Arabidopsis thaliana: one gene and its partner. The protein of the gene in region 1 purifies or fractionates together with the protein of each later gene. This does not show direct contact. Each region holds a gene or a part of one and is shown on either strand. Other genes may lie near its edges.

Evidence for each region.
Region 2: the proteins of AT1G18830 (region 1) and AT3G01340 fractionate together in Arabidopsis thaliana (co-fractionation; one large-scale study listed by BioGRID). This does not show direct contact.

What each region holds. Positions count from the first base shown.
Region 1 is NC_003070.9:6,487,303-6,500,538, forward strand, and holds AT1G18830 (Transducin/WD40 repeat-like superfamily protein), read left to right. Parts: upstream 1-2,006; coding exon 2,007-2,302; intron 2,303-2,390; coding exon 2,391-2,445; intron 2,446-2,530; coding exon 2,531-2,647; intron 2,648-2,728; coding exon 2,729-2,825; intron 2,826-2,921; coding exon 2,922-2,958; intron 2,959-3,054; coding exon 3,055-3,154; intron 3,155-3,239; coding exon 3,240-3,297; intron 3,298-3,375; coding exon 3,376-3,473; intron 3,474-3,580; coding exon 3,581-3,700; intron 3,701-3,934; coding exon 3,935-3,958; coding exon of another isoform or gene 3,959-3,977; intron 3,978-4,044; coding exon 4,045-4,185; intron 4,186-4,271; coding exon 4,272-4,399; intron 4,400-4,494; coding exon 4,495-4,894; intron 4,895-4,984; coding exon 4,985-5,077; intron 5,078-5,183; coding exon 5,184-5,369; intron 5,370-5,457; coding exon 5,458-5,671; intron 5,672-5,764; coding exon 5,765-5,826; intron 5,827-5,905; coding exon 5,906-6,040; intron 6,041-6,127; coding exon 6,128-6,338; intron 6,339-6,470; and 5 more. Other genes in the region: MIF3 (mini zinc finger), read right to left, coding at 8,804-9,070.
Region 2 is NC_003074.8:123,176-133,409, forward strand, and holds AT3G01340 (Transducin/WD40 repeat-like superfamily protein), read right to left. Parts: upstream 5,820-10,234; 5' UTR 5,717-5,819; exon of another isoform or gene 5,705-5,716; intron 5,309-5,704; 5' UTR 5,291-5,308; coding exon 4,382-5,290; 3' UTR 4,180-4,381; downstream 1-4,179. Other genes in the region: AT3G01325 (uncharacterized protein), read right to left, coding at 237-545; DEL3 (DP-E2F-like protein 3), read right to left, coding at 1,421-1,494, 1,595-1,955, 2,059-2,120, 2,217-2,289, 2,384-2,451, 2,665-2,743, 2,869-2,922, 3,012-3,089 and 3 more; AT3G01345 (uncharacterized protein), read left to right, coding at 6,144-7,544. UniProt on the Arabidopsis thaliana protein: Required for protein transport from the endoplasmic reticulum to the Golgi apparatus.

The DNA of each region.
Region 1 (13,236 bases):
CCAAATTACAGCTGAAAAACTTGAACCCTAATCTCTCAATTTCCATAATCAAACACAATACGTTGATTCAAAAATATATAGATTTTAATTTTGTTTGGTCTCGAAAACAAAAAGTGAGTAAAGTTATTATTACCGTTTGATAAAGGAAGAATCTAGCTTAACTTTATATAGATATTTTGGTTCATTCGCGTTACAAAACATCAGTTGAAAAATGGATTCCGGCTTAGAAATTGTATTTTAGTTATAAGCTATAAAATATTAGTATATATTTGACTATTCAAAAAATTTGCAACAACTTTTTCTTAATATATCAACTCATATTTACTCTCTGTTACATGTAAGTTCTAAAGCAATCAATAGAATATGCCAATATGGTGATGAATAGTAAATTAATAATATATGTTTTGAAAATGTGATTCTGTTTTTTTTCTATATACATTTCACAACATTCATCAATTTTTATATTTTCACATTTTTTAAAGTGATACAGTTTTGAATTATAACTGAAAGTAGTCAATATGTATTTACGAAGGCTAAAATTTCTAGTGTCTTGAGATTTTTTAGTGTAAATATTTTGTTTTTGTTTGCTAACTTAGGTATCCCCACTAATCTATTCATCTCACTTAAACACTGTAGTATCACCATATTATTCCTGATGGTACAGTAATTTTACATGCAAGCCAAATGAACATTATGAGTTGGACCTTTCAACGTTATACAGTATCTTTTTTCCTTATCAAAGATTGATTCGAATTATCTCAATCATCAAATTATTATTTTCCTTTTTCTCGTTAGTTTGTGGATTTATTATCCATGATAAAAAAATAACATGTGGACAATGTTACGACAAGTGGTATGTGGAAATTGAACAACAAAGAGAAGAGAGAAATCGAACTGGCTTGGTATTTATTGTTGGTATGCCTATTGTTCAGTACTTCATAAATAGCTAGGTAGAAAGATTGGTGCGTAATGGATTTTGCATTTCCAACAAATACATATCCACACACATTTAAGTATAAATTGCCTTGACGTCTGCTGAAAAGTTTGGCAGTGGCAACGTCAAATATCTTTTCAGTATCATTATTGTCCCTTTAGAATAATAAAACTCCAAATATATAACTGTGGAAATTTTCTTTTTTTGTTTTTTCATCAAAGTACATGTGGATCAAAATGATTAGATTTTAAATCGCTATGCAGGGTTCTGGTTGTTTCAAGTTCACATTGTCTCTTAAACTTGTTTGATCAGCAAAGAACTGAATAGGTTCTGAACTAGGGGGATCCATGGGTTTTGGCAAAACATTTAAAAATTAGCAAAGGATAATATAATATTTGGGTATGTTATAAATCAAAAAGTCAAGATGGCCGAGTTGGTCTAAGGCGCCAGTTTCAGGTACTGGTCCGAAAGGGCGTGGGTTCAAATCCCACTCTTGACACTATTGATTTTCTGATTTTTTTTTTGACATCAATAGTTTGACACAAAACTGAAAAAAGGACTTGTAGATATAAGGCCTAGATGCCCTAGACGATCCACTGGGCTCTACAAACCGTTCTTTTCCAATATCAAATTTTGTGAACTAGCCCAAATTGTTTTTAATTTTTCTTTTCAAATTTAAAAATATGAGTTTACATATTAACTTAAAAAATATGAGTATATCATACGTCTAAATTTGATAACTAGCCCAATGTATTAATTTTAAACAATCATTCAATTTAATAAAAATGAAAAAATATATTTTAGTTGTCACCTTTATAATAAAGCTTTTGTGCTATTATCCAAATGGAAATAATGGATATTTTGGTCTTTGGGACAACACACAAATGACGTGTCGGATTGTGAATGGTAGTGATCACGGACCACCAAAGTCCAACATTACGAAACTACCCTTACTCGTTTACTATATATATACACCTAAGTTTTTGTCTACAACATTCGAAAACTCATTACAAAATTCTCTCTGTTTCCCTCCGCACTCTTGAGAAATCGCTTTCTTCGAGTCACTCTCACAATGGATTGCATAAAGAGTATTGGTAGATCCGCTTTCGTTGCCATCGCGCCGGAATCTCCGTTCATAGCAGCCGGAACAATGGCCGGAGCAGTAGATCTTTCGTTTAGTTCATCCGCCAATCTCGAGATCTTTGAACTCGATTTTCAGTCCAACGATCGTGAGCTAAAACTAGTAGGTCAATGCCAAAGTTCCGAGCGGTTTAATCGACTCGCTTGGGGAAGTTATGGCTCTGGATCCGATGGTCTCATAGCCGGTGGTCTAGTTGACGGGAACATCGGTTTATGGAATCCAATTAGGTGATTTTCCCTAAACCCTAATTGAAATCTATTAGCCTCTCTTCAATTTATACTGATTATGTAAAGTATTTTACTTTGTATTTATCAGTTCTGAGTCTGGTGAAATTGCGCACGTTAGAGATTTGTCAAAACACAAAGGACCTGTGAGTTTGTATCTTCTGTTTTGTTTTTTTTCCCGATATATATACATCGTTATTTGATGTGTACATGCATTGTTTTGTAATATAGGTTCGTGGTCTTGAATTTAATGTTAAGTCTCCAAATCAACTTGCTTCTGGGGCTGATGATGGTACAGTTTGTATTTGGGATTTAGCAAATCCTTCAAAGCCTTCTCATTATCTAAAGGTACTATACAGTTCAAGATCTCTGCAATTTTATCTTTTCTGGTGTATATATCTTTAAGATATATACAATGTCTCGTTGCAGGGTACTGGTTCTTATATGCAAAGTGAAATCTCTTCTTTATCATGGAATAAAGGGTTTCAACATGTTTTAGCATCTACCTCACACAACGGGACTACAGGTGAGCATTAGAGTTCTATGATCTGGTTCACATAGGTTAACTACAATTTTTCAACTTGTGCTAATCGTGTATATGATGAATATTGTTTTTACTTAGTGATATGGGATGTGAATAACGAGAAGATTATAACAGAGTAAGTTTTGAGATCCTGATTTATTTTTAGTTTGTTATATTAGAAATCCTCTGTGATCTCTTATCAAAACCTGATCTAGCCATTATCAATCAACAGCTTGAAAACTACCGTTAGGTGCTCAGTTTTGCAATGGGATCCTGATCATTTTAATCAGATTTTGGTTGCTTCAGATGAAGATAGTTCACCGAATGTGAAGGTAATCAGATCATATTAATTTTTATTTTTTCAAGTTCAATCAAATTTGGCTCTTTTCATTGGTCTCTAAAGATGTTTTCTGTCAGCTTTTGGACATAAGGTATCTACAATCACCTGTTCGCACATTTGTTGGTCACCAAAGAGGTATCTCCATCTCTTTTACTATATAGAATGTACCCTTGCATTGGTTGAAACAGAGTGGTGATACTTGTTATACAACAGGTGTGATTGCAATGGAGTGGTGTCCAAGTGACAGCTTGTATCTACTTACCTGTGGGAAAGACAACCGAACTATTTGTTGGAACACAAAGACAGGAAAGGTGAAGAGACAATAGATTTGATATAGCCTTGTTGTTAGCTTGCATATGCTTGTCAGTTAACTAGTACTTTATCTAAATTAATGGAATTTTTGGTCCAATTATGTCAGATTGTGGCTGAGTTACCTACTGGTCAAAACTGGAATTTTGATGTTCATTGGTATCCAAAGATGCCTGGAGTTATATCAGCATCTTCAGTTGATGGGAAAATTGGCATCTATAACCTTGAGGTAGCTCTTTGCAGTTTCGTTTTGGTGTTTGAAATTTGTGTTCTAGATCAAGATCAATAATATATGATTGTATACAAATAATGAACCAGTAAATTCAGCACAAGTTCATTTTTCCTCTTCATTGTTATTTTAGGAGTTAGGTTCCTGTTCTGTCATGGTACTGCTTAGTTCTGAAGAATACTTGTTTGTTTCCCACCCATAAATAAAATAAAATGAAAGTATGTATCTATGTAGGGTTGTAGCAGCTATGGTACCGAGGTGAACAATTTATATTCAGGTAATGTCCTTCAAGATCCCTCTTGTTGAACAATATGCTTGAATCATTGCTTTGTTGGGAGCATTAGAACCAACAGCACTTCTTATTCCATCTTCTCGATGCAGATCCTTTAACAGCACCAAAATGGTGGAAGCGCCCGGCTGGTGCATCTTTTGGATTTGGAGGAAAGCTTATTTCGTTTAACAAAAATCTTCCTGAGGCATCTGAGGTCTTGTTTTAGAGAGGACATTGTTTTATTCTGTTTTGCTGTTTTTATATTTCTTCAGTTCATTGACTCTTATGTGTGCGTGTCAGGTCTTTCTGCATAGCTTGGCCACAGAAAAAAGTTTGGTGAATCGAATTTCTAAATTTGAAGCTGCATTAGAAAATGGAGAGAAGACTTCCCTTAGGGGTTTATGCGAGAAGAAAACAGAAGAGGCCGAGTAAGTCTTGCAGTGACTGAAAATGATCAAATAATCATCCTTATATAAGTAACAGAAACTTACAATTTTCCTCTTTGTGTACATTGTTTCTGAAGATCTGAGGAAGAGAAGGAAACATGGGGACTGCTGAAAATTATGCTTGAAGAAGATGGGAACGCAAAGACGAAGTTGCGTAGCCATCTTGGCTTTAGTTTACCATCTGAGGAAAATGATCAAACTGCTAATGAGCCTCATGCTACATGTTCTTCTACAAACGTGGAAGAAACTCAGAAAGTGCCAGAACCAGAAGGAGAAGAAGAAGAGAGCTCTGATCCAACATTTGATGATGCCATCCAACGTTCATTGATTGTGGGAGATTACAAGGAAGCAGTGGCTCAGTGTTTTTCTGCAAATAAGATGGCTGATGCTTTAGTTATTGCTCATGTTGGTGGTACAGAATTGTGGGAGAGTACTCGTGATAAATATATAAGGATGAGCAATGCTCCTTACATGAAGGTATAGATATTATTAGACGTTTTTTCAACTTTACTTGATATGTTGATAAGTATAAGTGTCATCTTATATTACTATGTTAATCTGTTACAGGTTGTTTCTGCAATGATGAACAATGATCTAATGACCTACCTTCATACAAGACAACCTAAATCCTGGAAAGAAACTCTTGCTCTCATCTGCACTGTAAGTACTATTTTCTTGATGAAGTTAAAATACTTGCTCCTAGATGGTTTGATGTCACTAATAACTACACTAATGGAATGTTTTTTTCTTATTTATTGACAAACAGTTTGCAGAAGGAGATGAATGGATAAGCCTCTGCGATGCTCTTGCCTCAAATTTGATGGCTGCTGGTTTTACTTTGGCTGCAACTCTGTGTTACATTTGCGCAGGCAATGTCGACAAAACAGTAGACATTTGGTCAATGAGCCTTGAAAAACAAAGTGCTGGGAAATCTTATGCTGAGTGTGTTCAAGTGAGTATAGAATTCTATATCTTGCATAAATATTAAATAGTACTTCTCTGCTTAAACTTTTTTTTGCATTTCTTTTTCTGTGAAATAGGATCTTATGGAGAAAACTCTTGTCCTTGCTTTGACAACTTGCAACAAGAGAGTCAGTGCGTCTCTACGTAAACTCTTTGAAAGTTATGCTGAGATATTGGCTAGTCAAGGACTTATTGCAACAGCTATGAAGTTCTTAAAACTTCTGGAGTCTGGTGATTTCTCACCTGAACTTTCAATCTTGCGTGATCGGATTTCTCTGTATGCAGAACCTGGTATGTGTTCAGCTGTGTTGTGATTAATCTGCTATCGAAGAAAGCTATCATTCTGATATTAGCTAAATTTTTTGATAATATTGTTTCTTGCAGAAGCTGCTAACACTTCTGCTTCAACAAACACTCAGCCTAAAATTTCCAATCCATATCAAGAGGTATGTTGTTTGGCTTGGAACAAACTCTGTTATCTACTTGGTTTTTACTTAAACATTTATTCGTCTTATTTTCCTGCAGAAATCTTTTACTCCAGCTCCATTAAGCAATGCTCAGCCATCAAGAAGTATTACTTTTTTTCCTTTGAATCCTCCTCGAGAACTAAAGAACGCGGACCAATATCAGCAACCAACCATGGATTATCATTCATTTAATGTATATGATTCACTTCCATCTCCATTGTATTTAGTTTACATTGTCCACATTTTAGCTTTTGACTAACCAAAAAACCTCTGTCTCCAGCGATCCGCTGGCCCAGCTTACAATGCTCCACCCGGTCCTGGTTCATATCGATCCATCCATTCACAAGTTGGTCCATATATAAACTCCAAGATTCCCCAAACTGTTGCTCCTCCAGTCCGACCTATGACTCCAACACACCAGGTAGCGGTGCAACCAGAACCTGTAGCTCCACCACCAACTGTTCAGACTGCAGATACTTCCAATGTACCAGGTATTGACATTGTAAAACATTAAAGCAGAAAACGCACTTTTTGTCAGCATCATTACATGTGGTTTATTTGTTATATATAAGTTTTTTACTAAAATCAAATTGTTTTCTTCATGATGTTATGGAATGATCCAGCCCACCAGAAACCTATTGTGGCTTCATTGACAAGGCTATTTAAAGAGACATTTGAACCATTAAGAGGTTATTCAAGAGATACTCCTGCCAAGAAGCGTGAGGCAGAAGATAATTGCTCAAGAAAGCTAGGAGCTCTGTTTTCAAAACTAAATAATGGGGACATCTCGAAGAACGCTGCTGAAAAACTCACTCAGCTCTGTCAAGCTCTGGACAAACGTGATTTTGGTGCAGCGTTAAAAATACAGGTAAAAAGTGGTGTATTTGTGAATCTTTAGTAATCTTGCATTATCGTATTTATAAATGTTGAATAAAGAATAGAGTTTGGTTTGTTATTTGTTAATTTTGGTGAACAGGGGCTTATGACAAGCACCGAATGGGATGAGTGCAGTTCTTGGCTTCCAACACTTAAGAAAATGATCGTCACGGGAAGGCAAAATGTGCGGTGAAATGGTGAAATTTATCTGTTTGGGACTAGGTTATGTACTTGGTGAGAAATAAAGCAAATCAGTTCTAAATTTAACACTCTATTTTCATAATGTCTCTTCTTCTTTTTTTTCTCTTATCTTTTAAGTGTCTTTGGAACCTGGAGAAAAAAATAAGCATTTGCCTTGAAAACTTTAGAGCCAAGCAATGTAAAAGAAGCCTGGGTTCATGAGAATGGTGTTAAGGGTCGTGGATCGAATACAAATTTTGTTATGCCGAAGGTGGAAAATATGTGGTCCAACTCTGTGTTTAGTTATTGGCCTATTTTAGTTACTTTTACGTTAAAAGAAATTGTCTACGTACTGTCTAGAGGTTCACAAAATCAGAATATGTATGCTCCAAAAGAGTATCTTGACTTTTTTTAATTACATTAAGAAATACTACAGTGGTCTTTTCCAACAAATTCGAGTGGCCACTTTGATGAGAGCAAAAGTGGCCAATATGTTTTTGGTGGTATTATATTGCTTTATGATAATGGCTTAAAATCTTTGTTATATATGGAAGCGAATTGAAAAACATGAACCTAAACGATTTGATAACATGATTTGAAATGTGGGCCGCTGTGTTTTAAATTAAATTACATTAACATAAACATAACAAAAAAACTCCATCATGATCTTTTCTAGCAACCAAAAAGAATGATAACGACCAGACCGTCTATTAATTAGATATATAAGTAATGCTTTGACACTTGACTTCTGGCTTTATTTGTTTAATATGTACATGAACTCGACTTAATCGAATAAAGTCATCAAGTTTAATAATATTTTCTTCATAACACTAAATTTACTTTGATTTAAATTTCATATGGACATCAAACTTTATATTTTTAATATGTGTTGAACATTTTATCGGAATCTTTTGTATGTAAAGTGGTGGGTCGAATATTCAACAGAAAGAGACAAAGGGAAGAAACATATGATTATTGGTACTTGTATGCATTACTTATATTTTTTTTTTTACGTAATAAAAGCTAAGATCCAAATTTTATTTTACAATAAAATAATCATTTTAACTACTTATTTTCAACAAAACTCACCTATCTAGCTATAAGTCAATATAAGAATAAGAACAAAGATTTAACTTGCTTATTAATTTGTGTTTTGAATTCCATTTATAAGTCTGTATATCCCCATTTTCTGTTGCTGTCATTGACCATATGCTTCGTATACTCTACATGTGCGATATAGATATACATCGAAATATATTAATACATCAAAACAAGCATTGGAATTTGAAAGAGATCGCAAGTGCTCATAAGGATTCATCTCTTTCAGCGCAAGCTAAGTGCTCTTAAAGATTCATCTCTTTCAAATAAGAAATATAGTTTATTATGTATCCTGCTTAAAACATTAGCATACACATATATATAGACGTACAAATGTGATTAGCTCAATGAAGAAAGATTAGTTTCGATTGGATACTTTTGTGTTATACGGAATGTTAATGGTTTATGTACGTCTTTAGAACTCGTCACCAAAATTATCTACGGCTCATTCTATTCTAAATCGACAACTTCTTAAACGCTTTAAGACTTCTGGGTTTTTAAAATAATCAAAAGCAAGATCCGCCAAAAAAAGGAAAAACAAAAAAATTGTTCCACATATTGTAATCTTAAATATAGGTACACATAGATTTGAAGTATGTATCACATCAAGATTGAAAAATCATTCATCATATAGATCGGCGTTAATGTAAGTAGTTGAATATACAACATTAACCATATACATATACATATAAAATACATCTCGATCTAATATAAATCAATAGATCAAATCCAAAGCAGGTTCCTTTTTTCTTTGTTTTCAGTTACCTTTCTTGGCTTTTCTTCTTTTTTCCATCTTCGTTCATCAGTTGTTTGCATTCGGAGGAGAATACTCACAAACAACCTCCGTGTCAACTTCCCTCCGGTGAAAATTCCGGTGACAGCCACAGGCAGCACACGTCAAAGCATCATCTCCGCCGCTTGCCATAAACTCCCGGCAACCGTCAACAGCGTAGCCGCCAATATTAGCGGCATGATTCTTCTGACACTCAACGTAACGGACGTTGCTTGAAGAAGAAGTCATAGTGTAAGAGCTTTTTCTCTGTTTTATCACCACTTGCCTCTTCTTCATCTTCTTCGTAAACTGATCTCCCGAAAAACCCTAAAAGAAAATTCCGATTACCTTGTTTTGTGGGGAAATGATCAAACACTCTTTTTGGATACTAAGTAAAATGGTACTTGCCAATGAAATGCCCCTTTGTAGCCCTTAATATATAAATAGGGTTGTTGAGTGTTGACTATATATCTCTACACTATAGACGGATTTGCTGAAGCATTTGTTAAATTATTATATGACTAAGTATTTGAAAAAGTCGCATCAGAAAAAGAAGTCATTGTGAAATGAAATATATCTATATTTGGTAAGACAAAGACTTCGACATGTAATTAGGTTTATAAGGGTAAAAATATGTTACGTAACATGGAAGAAGTGCAACAAATGATGTAGAATATAAGATTACTAGCTAGCTAGTGATCTTGACATCTAGTATATTTAAACCATTTTCTTTGATAGTTAGAATCGAGTATAATATTTTTGAAAATGTTGAAGATATTTTTAACCGACTTTTAAATAATAGATATACTATTTATCTGTATATATTATATGAACAACAACAAAATTCTTAAATTTGATACGAGGGAACCTACTTTTTAATTTAATACTAGAATTCAAATTTACGTTCATTTTATTTCCAACGGTGTCTTCCAAAATTGCAAACATAAAACTCAGCAATGAGCCTTATTTGTACCGTTGTTTTCACGTGCAATTGCTTCGCATAAATCTTTTAATTCATTGGAAAAATAATTTAGTAATAAAACCAATTAAATGCTAGCCACTAGTGGCTCATGAAATAAATAAATAATTGAATAAACAAAATAAATGCGTATCCGAGTCACTCCAAGGGACATGCTCCCACAAGCAATAGACACTGACAGATTGTTGGAGTATAATCGCATTATCAATCACATTTTTTATTATCATTATGGACTTCCATTTAAGTCTTATATACAACTATAAATAAATATATATCATTGTATATATCATTATATATATAGATAATGTTGTTTTCTTGGCAACTATATATAAAAGTATAGAATTATAAATTCCATTTCAGTAAAATTATATATATTAATGCACAAAAGATAATGAGGTTTCAATTCGGATTTTTATTTAGAAATTCAGTAATACTTTGACTACTTACTTATAACGCGAAGCAACAAATGTGGATCCCAGTTGTACACAAAAGACAACGTCAAATGCCCCATGCGATTTGATTATAAATTAGTTTTGCCCTAAAGATGATCAAAATTATTTTCTGTATATAAATTATTAACGTGTAGACTACTACATCAAGTCATCGACAGTGCTTAATAATCTAGACTGATTTTTGAATTATGGAGATTCGAATGTTCGGTACAATTTTATGAAATATATCAGCATAATTAACAAATCAAATATATTTTTTTGACAGCCAAAAAAAAAAAAAAAAAAAAAAAAAAAAAATCTTCGATTAGAGAAAGAAAAACAAAATAAACAAATATCAAAACCATATATGAACATCTTGACACACAAAACTATACCAACAAATTATTGACAAGTTTTGATCTCGACTTTTACTACTCACTGTAATAGTACGTAAGTTTATTTTGGCTATAACTACAATGGTATTAACTTTATATATCCTATCAATTCAGAAAAAATGGTACTTGTAAACTGAAACATAAAATTTACAAAACAATTTCTTTGATCATTAGGAAAATAAAAAGCCGAAAATCACGGGCGAATGTCAAGAAGTCTGTTTTGTCGAATAGAAAATGAAGACACGGCATGAGTTCTTCTGTTCAATTTCTCTTGGCGAGTTCAAATTTTTTGCCACCTCCAATAAGCCAATAAGGAGGTAATTAAGTTAATAATGATACCTTTCAGAACCATATTGTGCTAATTAACAATCACATTATATAGCAGATATTCGTCCAAACATCTACTGCAGAATACTATAAACTATAAAGTAGTTAAGACCGCATTTAAAACAATTTGGAATATAGAGAGAGTCAGCGAGAGATGGGATGTTCTTAAATATTTGTGTAAAAGACTCTTTGTTTCTCACCAACCGTGCCCTACTCGTGAAGTTGCCAACCTAAAATCTATACAACCCCAAATCATTTGAATAGTTTATATATATATTTCATACACTGATCAATCATCATACTGGATTTACATGTATATACAATATTGTAAAACTAGGGATTCGAGACCGAGTCACACTGATGAAAATTTTACTTCAAGAGTATAAAATATAATCGTGAATAAGGTTTGTGATATATTTAAACAAAAAGTCTGTAAAAACTGCGTCTGACACTGGCAGAGATACAAAAACAAATTAAGGAACCAACAAGAGAAAGGGCCCAAAATGATTGTCAAACTATGACTTGCATAAATTATTATAGTTGGAAGGTTTGAATCTACTCCACTTTTTTCCAACTACTTTAATTTATTTATTTGTTTATGTATGTTTCCTTCCCTCCAAATATCATATTTAATCCATTTTCATTATAGTTTGATGAATGAAATCGAAAACATGATGATTCGAGAAAATCCAGCATGCCATATTGGCAAATATTATTAAACTTGTTCATAGAGTTTTTTTTTCTTCTTCTTATCAATTATCATTACTACCAAAATAATTGACAATATAATCGTCATTATCGTTTAACATCAATGTTGTTTTTAGAGTAGAAAATCTCTCCGAGAAACCAGAAACGTACAGATTTCTCAGGATTTTAAACATGCATGAAAAAAATCAATCAACTACGTACACCTACGATTGCGAATTATTTAATGGGCTTATTTCAAAGATAAAGCCCAGTATATTTGACGACCTTTTGTTGCTGGCTTTCTGAGTTGTCTGGATTTGGGCTCAATAACCAAAACTCTAGAAGAATTTATGTATTATCGAAAAAGATTTCAGAAGATCCATATTTTTTGTTCCGGCAATCTCAGAAGATTCTGTTATGCATGATGTTTATACTGGTAATAATCTGGTTAATCAGAACCAATTAAATACGAAACAGCGAGAAATCACACAGAGAACAAATGAAGTCTTGCATACTCATATAATATAATAATGCATCAACCAAATAGGTAATGCAAGACATGTTTTAAAGAACAATGATATAGAAACTTAAGCCGATGAAGGATTAAGAGACAAATATTAACCTTCTTTATAAAACAGAGTACTGAAAGAAAATAGAGTTACTGACATTACAGAAACAGAGTATAGCCTTAGCTTTACTTTCAGAAACAAAACATTGTTTCATTTTATATTATAGTAAAAATGTCAGCATTTGTTGTATTTGTTGTGAATAGGATCAGATCCTCTTCCAATCATTCTTTTCACAGATTGATTAGGATCAGACATAACGAAAGGAGAAGGCGCCAAGTTTCCTTTTGATGATGAAGAGGACTCAGGCTCAGACTCTTCAAGAACACGCAAAGGATGAACAAACATAAGCTGCATCCTCATGTCTCTGTCCCATCTAAGACCCGAAACGTAATCAGTTTGAAGTACCGAAAACGCGATGAGAAGAAGAAGAATCATTCCTATATGACCAATTGAAACACCCATGTTAACTAATATGTAGATACTACAGCGTTTTGTTTCTGAAAGTACAACTTGAGAGATTATATATAAATGGAAAAAGGTTAAAGAACAAGAGAGAATTTTGTATCTCCCTCTCTATCTCTTTGTTTTTGGAATGGAGAGAAGATTGGTAAGAAAGAAGCATATATAAAGGCTGGTTTTAGAAGAACTCTCTTCTGACAAGTTTGAACCAAAAAAGGGTTTACACTTGGAACTCTCTTCTAGGGAAGCTAAGCATATCTCCCTCTCCCTTTTTTTTTTCCTTTCATTTCCATACTTTCTTTTCTTCTAACATACAGATATATAAGTGTAGTTTTTCTGTTTAGATAAGGTGAATGGTGATACTGACACATACATATAAATATATAGTTTCAAAGGTGCATTCTTGTGTTGCTTTTTGAGCATTGTACGTCATACACTACCACAATGTCTGCTTTCAAATAGAATCACCAAAGAGCATAGAGATATCTTTGGAACATTCCCTTTCTCCTGACATGGACTGCCGTTACATATAAAATGAATATAAAAAAAAAGTGTTTATTCAAAAAGAATAAATTGAAAATGATGAAGAAGAATAATAAAATGAATAGGAAGCCTG
Region 2 (10,234 bases), on another chromosome or scaffold:
TATAAATGGGTATATTTCTTTTTATGAAATCAAAGTTGAAAATATATATTCCCAATAAGTGAGAGGAATGATAGGCCTATTAAAACAAAAGGAACACGGTGAAAATGAGAGTTCAGATAAAGTCCAAGGACGATGAAACATTGAAGTGAACAAAGATATGTATAGTTTGAATGAGGTAAGAAAAATTCAAAAATATTATTTCATTATTTATTTTATAATTGAAAGATACAGAAAAATCATGAAGTTGGAGGCTTAACAGCATCACAAATATTTCTGAAGTTAGTCATTGGCAATTCAAGTTCAGAAGTAAGTTTCAAGAAGCAAGTAACTGGAAGTGTTGCGAATACTGCTCTGCAGCATTTTCCTGTTAACAAACTAACATCTCTGTGCACCGCTCTTCTCAACGCTTCGTAACATCTTGGCGCTCTTTCTATGAATAATGTTGAACAATATCTGACCGGCGGAGCTGCTTCCGATGGTCGGAAATTCAATGCCAAGATTAGGGCTACCAAGAAAAACATCACTTTGGTTTGTTTTAGTTCCATTTTTGTTCTTTTCTTTTTTGAGAAGTTTTCAAAAGAATTGGTTGTGTGGGTTCGAATTGTATGTATCTTTGTCTCGACGTATAAATAGAAAAGAGTTTGTACTGTATTGTGAATTTGTGATATGTGATGAAAGTTTGACTTAAAAAAAATTAACTTGGCAAGTTCATATATTATTATTTTATTTTATTTTGGTAGAAAGTTCATATATTTGTTTGACCCATATATATTGGAAAATGATTGAATACTGTATGAAGAAATCCATAAAGTGGATATCAGCTCCATTTCCCATTAAAAAAAGAAAGAAAATAAATCACTTTTCTATAGTACATACTATTTGACAGAAAATTAATTAATTTTATCACTTTTCAGTTTTTGTGATTCTGAAATTAAATACAACAGTATATTATTATCAACAACTAATCCAAGGATAAATGAATGGAAGATTCAAGTTTTCTAGGTAGGTAAAAAAACTAATATTGTCGGTGAAAAAAAAAAAAAAAAACAAACTAATATTGTAGTTCTTCTAAGATCGTTTGCATAGTTGTGGCACAAGGTACAAAAGTCAAAACATGATGATATAGATTTGGTTTAAGTTTTATGAGCATAAATTTTCTTTTCTTTTTACAACTGAAAAGAAATGTAATGATACCAAACCAAATATGGATGGATTAAACATTTATATTAAGTTAAGGAGAGGATAGGAATTCGAATCAAGTATAGAACAAAGTCACTCGGAATTTGTTGGGTGTGACTTTTATTAACAATAACAATACTCTGTTTCTTACTATTGTTTAAGGCAAACAAAGACTAAAGCTATATGTTGGATGAGTTATGTGCTCTCATGTACCCAGAGAAAACATGTGACCTCAGTAATGTTATTTATTCCGATCAACCTCTGCATACCATTTCTTCCATGCCTCCGTGAAATGCCCAAGAAGACCAGTTATTTCTGTTTTAACAACATTTTTCAAAACCAAAACTCAGTTTATGTTTTATAATCAGATATGTTTGCCAATCGAATCAAGAAACGATTAGAGTGTGGTTGTTACCTTGATTGCAATACTGTGGTTGGTAGGTAGAAGCAAGGGCCTCGATCTCTAGTAACCTTCCCTTTCCGACTTTGTCGTTGTTCGTCTTAGATGCTCCTATTGGGGAGAACGGGCCAAACACATATTTACTTGCAGCTGGTTTCGATTCCTGCTCTGTGTTTTCCTCGTCATGTTTCTTATATCCAATTTGCTTGCGGATTGATGAACAATATGTTTTGTTTCTCTTTGCCCTCAAGTTTGTGATCTCTGTTCCAAATACCCGCTTCGGTTCTCCGGAATTAAATAAGCTTAATCCTCTTTCAGCTATGCTTTTGGACCCTAACCACCTATATGCTGGTTTCCTAGTCACTGGTATATGAGTCTGGAGAAAGCAAAAAAAATAATAATAATAACTAAAAGATGATACACTGGAAATTTGCAAGTATTACAGTGTTAATGTATTGGCTTAGGAACAAAGCTCTTACCTTCTCGATTAAATTCATCGAGGCAAATACATTTGCAATGTCGTAAAGTCTTCTAACTTTAGCTGTTAATCAATTTCAGAAATTTGGTTGGTTAATGGTACTGTATACTTGTGAGAACAGAGATTAGAAAAGATCTAAAACAGGAAATATAGATGTACTTCGCATATGGACTGAATCTGGAGAGTCGCTCAGCAAGGCTTTTGCAGCACTATCAAGTGTGATGAGATCATCCTGAAGAGAAGGCAGCAGACAGGGTGTGAGTTGTTGTTTATAAGAGGGATTTGAAAAGTATTGTGTAAGAAGCCAAAGAGAGATATTCACTTACATCAGAACATAGAAACATCTTCACAAAATTCTGTGCGAGAAGCCAGAGAGATTTTTCCTTCTTTTGGTCTGAAAATGATATTAGTTTGATTTCAAGTTAGCTCCTAAAGAAAATCTTATCCTGGAAACTTTTATTCATCAAGTAGCACTTTGTTAATGCAGAACTATTTGCAGAAGAATGTTTATTCAGAATCAAGTTGTGGACTGAAATCCCAATAGTGATTAGCAGATGGATATTGATAACACTCCAACAAAACAAAACACTAGAAGAAAGAAGATTACCCATTTTAGAGGATGATGAGTTCTCCTGATCATCAGGTGTTAAAGTTAAAGGTTCTTCTCTTTCACAACCATTTGAAACCTAATACATTTACGACCATAGAATCACATCACAGGTAACATCTTCAAAGTTAAATTCCAAACCACTTTAAAAAATCTAATAAAAAATTCAGCAACAAAGAATCTTAAGAGGATGAACTTATATACCTTGTCTGAATTGTTTGAACTTGAGTAACCTAACCTCTCTCTCATCCCTTCTTCCTGTAAACAAAAACAACCAAAGACAAGTTTCAAAACCATTCTCCTTGCATCATTAAAAGCCAGATGTTGAACATCCATATCAAGTAAACCTTGAGTTCATCTAGAGAACGAGGAATCTCTCCAAAACCTTTCCACGAGTATTGATTCTTCCCTCTTCTTGCCACAATCTGAATATACACCACAAAACTCTAAATCAGCTCAAGCTAAACCCAGCAAAATAAAAAAGAGCATACATACCCCAATACTCTCCAATATATTGACCACATCATAGATACGCCGCCTTTCAACTCCTGAAACAAAATTTGAGAAATCCGATGAGAGCGTAACCAAAACAGTCATCGGATTACTTAGTTCTCCGTTAGCCCAATTGTTCTTAGTCTAGGAATCGAACGCATACGTTTAGATTTGACCTATCCATCGATTTTAAAATTTCAATCTCACAAAATCAGGAGGAAGAAGAATAAACCTAATTGCCCAGCGGCATCATCGAGCCCAATGAGATCCACATCGTCTCGGTTATACAGTCTCAGGAAACTGAATCGTACATAAGACATCAATTACACATAAATCCAACAAAGCAAAATCTGGTGAAAGAGAGAGAGAGAGGTGTTACTTGGAGACGAGAACCCCAAGAGATTTCTCCTTGCGGCTATAAATTTGCAGACCAAGCGATTCCGCATCTTGAGAAACAACAATCGCAGAAGACATTTTCCCCAGAAACAAAAAACAGAGAAAGAGGACGAGAAATTTCTGAGATTCGGATATTTGTCTTAGCAATTAAAAAAAAAAAAAAAAAACTTTTTGGGGCCAAAGCGGGGGGAGAGAGATTTCGAATTGTGAAAATAGGCGCTTCATTCATCGCTTTAGCACTTGTTATCACTGTTAATGACGCAAATACCCTCGATCCTCTTAACTACACGGAGTATTGAAAGGGTAAATATTATAAATCGATGCAGAGCCGGATTAGCATTTTTTGAGCGCCATCGGCAAAATTTCGTAAATCAAAATTTTATGCCTAATTGAGCATTAAAATTTATCAAGTGGCTGGCTAAACGAGCTGGTTAATGAGTTGAAAATTAGTTGATCGATTAAAAACACAATTAACTAAGGTTGAACAGGCTTAAATTTTTAAAGTATTAATTAGTTAAAAATGAGTTTATATTGAAATCAATTAAATTTTGGTTATAAACTACAATGAATTTACGCCAAAATCGGAATCTCATAAAAGGGTAAAAATGTGAAAAACATCATACCAGTAAAAAAAACTCATTATCGGAATTAAAAAGTTTTATGAAAAATACATTTCTTTTGCAATCTCTGTTGTCTGATTAAAATACATAAGAATATACTTTCCTGAGAAACGTATAGAGAGAAACAGGTCCCTAGAAATTGTATACAGAACACACCACATTTTGATATTACCACAAAACAAAAGATAACCAAACAAACAAACAACAATCTATGGCTCAACAACAGTCACTTGTTCCCACTCTCCATCAACAGACTCTTTCCACACTGTAACGTTATTGTTCCCATCGGAAACAGCCAACAAATTACCGGTCAACGACCACGAGACCCGCCACACTGGTGTTTTGAAATCTTTCAAAACAGTACCTTCCCATTGCTCACCTTCTTTCCCTATGGTCCATATGATCACTTTCCCATCTTCTGAACCACTGGCTATGGTTGACTTTGGGAGACCCAAGTTCGGTGCCCAAGCCACATCACGGACCCAATCCGTGTGCTTGTTGAGAGCCGGGAAACAATCCATTTTCCATGACCCGTTCGAGAACTTCCACACTTTCACCGTGCTATCACACCCGCCGGATGCTAGTTTGTAGACCGGATCGATCATACCAGAGCTAACGAGTGCGCCTGGTTCTGTGGCCGGTGCCCACGACACTGAAGTGACACCAACAGGGTGTGCTTGGTCTATCTTTGTCGTGTCCCAACCGCCATCAGCTCGAGCCGAGAAAACTGATATGTTTCCATCAGATGCTCCGCAAGCTAAGGAGAGTCCAAGTTCATGAGGAGCCCAAGCGATAGAGTTGACAGATACTTTGTGGTCTGTGAAGACATGAGCTTGTGTCCATTGGTTTTGGTTACCTTCTTTCCATAATATAATTTGCCCATCATAGGAACATGAAGCGAGAAGTGAACCAAACTTTGGGTGCGCCCAAGCGACTTGCCAGACAGGACCTCGATGACCGGTTAAGGTAGCTAGATGCTGAGATCCACCGCTGTTGCTTACTCCGGTTATCTTGATCGTGCAGTCAGACGAGGCAGTTGCTACTCGCTTTCCATAGTAATCCATGACCACATCATGAATAGTGTCGCTATGACCAGTTTCAATCTTCTGAGGAGGCATGTTTCCTGAATGCTTTCACTGTTACAATACAAATCAACAGGGAACACAACCATGAGCATGTTGATCCAGACATTAACCGAAGCAAAGTGTTAGATTATTAAGCAGAACAATTAACAAATTATCACAGCCAAGACCATATGGTAAGCACAAGGATTATTTAAACTCAGACCTCAATTTTAAGCGATTAATCAACACAATCAACATCGCAATGTTTACAAGTTGTGAAAAAAACAAGATCAAAACGAGAAATTATAAAACGTGGATTCTAAGATTGATCGCTTCCCACCGATGTGAATGAGAGTACATAACCTAAATCGATCTACAGGCGCTGATAGAAGTCTAGCAAATTTTAACGAAATTCATTGGAAGATCAAATTGAGCTAAGACTTCATAAACAACAGAGAAAAATCTCACATCGTTACGAACCTCTGGTATTGGAGTTATCTTCTTCCTTTGAACTCTCCAAAACTCAGATCTGCTACTGCTTAGAGACGAGAGAGACAAAGCGAAAGAGGCGAGTTTGTGTCCTTATTACCGATTCTACCCCTACTTGTTGGAATGACATTAATACCCCCTACATACTATCAGGCAGTAGATGGGCCATCGTGTATATGGTATTGGGCCTTCAATATTGTTTAGTTGTATTATTGGGTATGTTGAAAATTGAGAACACCAATTTGACATTTTTAAACTGAATTCTTTTCATTCATTCTCTCTCATCGAGGCCAAAGCTTCCAAACAAATTCCGGCACCGGTAGAGCCGTTTGCTCGCCGGTGCCGGGAGCTATCGTTCCCTTGTCGCTCTCTTCTCAATGGCTATGTCATCTGGTGTTCTCTATTCTCCCGTGTTCCCATGTTTCGCTTGTCTTTTCTCCCTTTGTATCCAAAGATTACCTTGACCACCATACCTCTGAACACGTTCACTTCTTGTGCTAGTTCTCCCCTTATCTTCTTTGCGACCTCCGTGGTTTATCCCTCTCCTCGGCTCCCCTTGAAGTCAATACCGGCATCTCCCTATTCCCCTCTGGATCGGAGCTTTGCTTTGACGCCGGAGCTGTTGAAGAGCTTTACCTTGGAAGATCCAACTTCTGCAGACCGAGCCTCATCGCAAACAAACTTCGTTTGGTTAGATCTTGTCTCTGACGCCCTCAATTCGGCAGCTGTAAACCCTAAGTCCGTTTTGCCGTCGCCGTCGTCGTTGGTGACAAAGAGAAGATGCGCTTGGCGGCTAAACCTAATGCTGCCTCAGGGTTTTCGCATTGGGCCCAACCCAAGCCCCTTCTGTCCTCCCCCTAACCCATTACCTAAACTATTAAAGCCCATGAAGCCTTCTGCTGGGTTAAGCCCATATCCTCTAAGGCCCAGGTCTGTTTTCAAATCTGTTTTACAAAGCCCAAATTTTTTGATGTTGTTATCATTTAGGGAGAGTAATGGACGCTTTCCTGTGATGGTGATGATGGATTTAGCTTGGATTAGTAGCTCTCTCTCACAAAACCTAGTTGATAGTCTATCTCGTTTGGTCCGTTTTCTTCAGTGTTTGAGTCTAGTCTTGAATCGTTTGGAGCTATTTTCTCTTTGGAAGTGTCCTAGAGTGTTGCTGCCCACACCAAGTATCGTTAATTTACTATCGAGTTCCCTCCTTTTAGCACCCTCTACCTCTGTTTGGGCTGGTAATGGACGCCTTGCTATCAGAATAGTGGTTTGTTTAGGTGGGAATGGTAGTTACCATTGTCGAGATAAGATGTTAAGTTTTCTTTGGACCCTATCCGAGACTCCTTTACCCACCCATAGGCAAATGGCCTTTAGAGTTAAGAGGATCGGCATTATGACCCTGTCTCTACCGAGTAGGTGTTACCGAAGCCTTGAAAACTCTCAACTTATCCACTCACCATTTATCGCGCTCATTCATGTCATGTTAATCTATTGCTTGGATAATTTGCAATCTCTTGACATGTTGAAAAAGTACGGCATTATGACCATGTCTTCAAGAAGTGGTTACCGTCTTTTTCTCAACCTCGTTAACCCGTCAGCCTCCTCAACGGAGCACTTCTTCAAAAGCTCGGATGCATTGTTTGCAAGAGCTTCTTTTGACCACAAGATGGTCGAGGATTTCGCGAAGCCCGCCTTCATGGTCGAATCTGCCAAGGCCTCAACAGATTTTTCAATCATTAGAAAACTCATGAAGCTTCTATCCTTATTTTCCTGTAATTTCTTATTTTCATTGTGTATGAACTTGTCTCTTTTGAGATTTTAATGAATGAAGATCTTTGTTTGACAAAAAAAAAACTGAATTCTTTATATCATTGTTCATATATATAATAACTGAAGAAACATAACTGTTACTAATATAAGAGTCAAAATTATATGGTAAACAAAGAAATTAAACAAAAGTATAACTTTCTAACGTATGGATATTTTGGTCATATTTAAATACTCACTTGGAGTCAAACAGTCAATACTATAATGTAATGTAGAAAGTCACCAAAAGAATAATACGATATAATCTTAAAATGTTCGTGAATAGCCAAGCATTAACATATTTAATGTTAACTTTGTACCACCAAACTAATACAGATATTTCTATGACACTAGTATAAAAATACTTAAATTCAAGTTTTGTGTAAGTGCATGTAGTCACCTTAATTAACTAGATCGTATGAAACCAACATGTGTTCGTTAAGTGCTAGTTTACGTACCATGTAGATAAAGGATCAGGCACGCAAATAGCCAAATATTATATGATTATTATCTTTATCAGGAAGACAGGAAATACTAGATTTGATAGTTATAATTTCTCATAAGGACAGACAAAACACGTACAGTGTTATCTCTGTTCCCATTCTACTTTGTAGACCAAAATGATTTCCATCTCACTAAACCACCATAGCGTGGGGGTACAAAGAATTTTAAAGAAACTTTTTTTGTTGGACAAAGAATTTAAAAGAAACTAAAAGGTCTATATTATATACCAAGTTACTTGAAATAAAACTACATGCAGAGAGTGTCTTGAATATTTTCGTTACAAGAAAAAACTCAACATCTCCAAAATACAGTATATCCTTTTTTACAAAACAAAAAAATGTCAACATCTACATCATAACTTCATTATTGTTTTCCAGGTAGTACGTGATCATGTTGTCTACAAACAAGTGATAAATAATTTCCCAATATAACATTCTAACGTTCATATAATCATATTTACTTTACACACGAATGTATTCAACAATAGCTTTCGCAGTTCACGTGCTTAGCAAACGTTAGCACGTGTTGCTCTCAAGTTCTCAACAATGGAACCCTTTAAATTCTAAAATTTAATATTGAATATTTAACATGACATTCAACTTAATTTGTGTTGGATATAAAAACAGAAAACAAATATAAAACCAAAATTTTAATCAACTTAAATAGTTACTTTTTCCTAACACACTAAATAACTTTATAATATTATAACGGTGAAAATTGACTGATGTCAAATGAAATAAAATTTATAATAAAATATAATTTTTGTTGGACCATGAATGATCTTCACTTTTCTATTTGTGGTCAGCATTATTGGACCACATAAAAAAATACGTATCAATTTGTGTTAAAACGTTAAAGAATAAAGTATTTTCCAAAAAAGAAAAAGAAAAAAGATAAAATAAATTTTGCTGCCAGTAACCGAATAAAAGAAAATTAAAGCATCCATAGGAAATGACGTGTATTTATCGACGTGGAAAAGAACGTGAGACACGTGGCAGTATATATCAGAGCGAGAGAGAAGGTTGATGCACGGAAGCTGTTCCCTTTTAAAAAATTTGGTGCAAGTCTACGTTGTGGCACTCACTCACTTAATAAACTCCACTTTTCTCCAAAGTTGATTTTATCATCCTTTTTCCTTTTTTAAACCATTATTGGATTCTTATAATTTATAATCCGCATGAACATTTAATTACCATAAATTAATCTCTACTGTATATCGTCTTTAGTAGTTAATTGTAATTTCATCTTAGGTATTTTAAGTCTTTCTGTAAATCGCCAAATATTCCGGAAACTATATGGTTCTGAGACCATCTTATCTTTTACTCTCTTAATTATTTCCTACTTTTCTATTTATAGAGTTAATACTTTGATAGTCAGAAAGTAATAAATCTTTATCTCTCTTAATTTTTCAAATCTCTGCTCAGTTTATAATTTCTACCTTCTCATTTTCTCCGTACTCTCTGCAGATTTGGCCTAATATATTAAGTTTTTTTTAAAAAATATATATATATATATATATATTTTTTCGTGACTGGAAAAATGCAGATCTAATCCAACAATGATAAGCCTCTTTGATAATAAATTTCAAACAATCGAGGTATGAGAGGAAAAAGAAAATGAGTCCTGGTTTGGTAACTCCTTGGATATTGAGGAACATCGGTTTAAGGCCAACCTAAAGCTTCGATGGATATATTTGCATCAAAGATTCGAATAATGGCTCACTGAAGAGCAAGTCTCGGTAATACTTTTGCTCTAAACAATTCGATCTTATCTCATTCCTCTCTTAAATCCACCCTATAATGGCACCACCACCCACGTTGCATAAGTTTGTATATAGGTGTTTCTTTCACAATTGTTTTTTATAAAAAAGAAAAATGTTTTTTTCAAAGAAGAATTTTAGATAAATTTAAAAACCTTTCGACAAAAAAAGAAAGATTAAATTTAAATATTCAAAAGAAAAAGACCTTAATCCCCAAAGTCGGTCAATGAGGCAAAAAAAGGTTGTTCAAAAAATGATAGCACACTTTTAATGGATTTTTGTTTTTTGTGTCACGAACACTTTGAATTTAAGGAACTAAATCGTAAGAATTGAATACTATAACGTTCCACTACAGTCAGTTTTACAACTATAGAACAGTTTAAAAAAAAAAAATTTATCTATAATTCCTTAATTACAGAACCACCTACAAGTGTTAATATGCA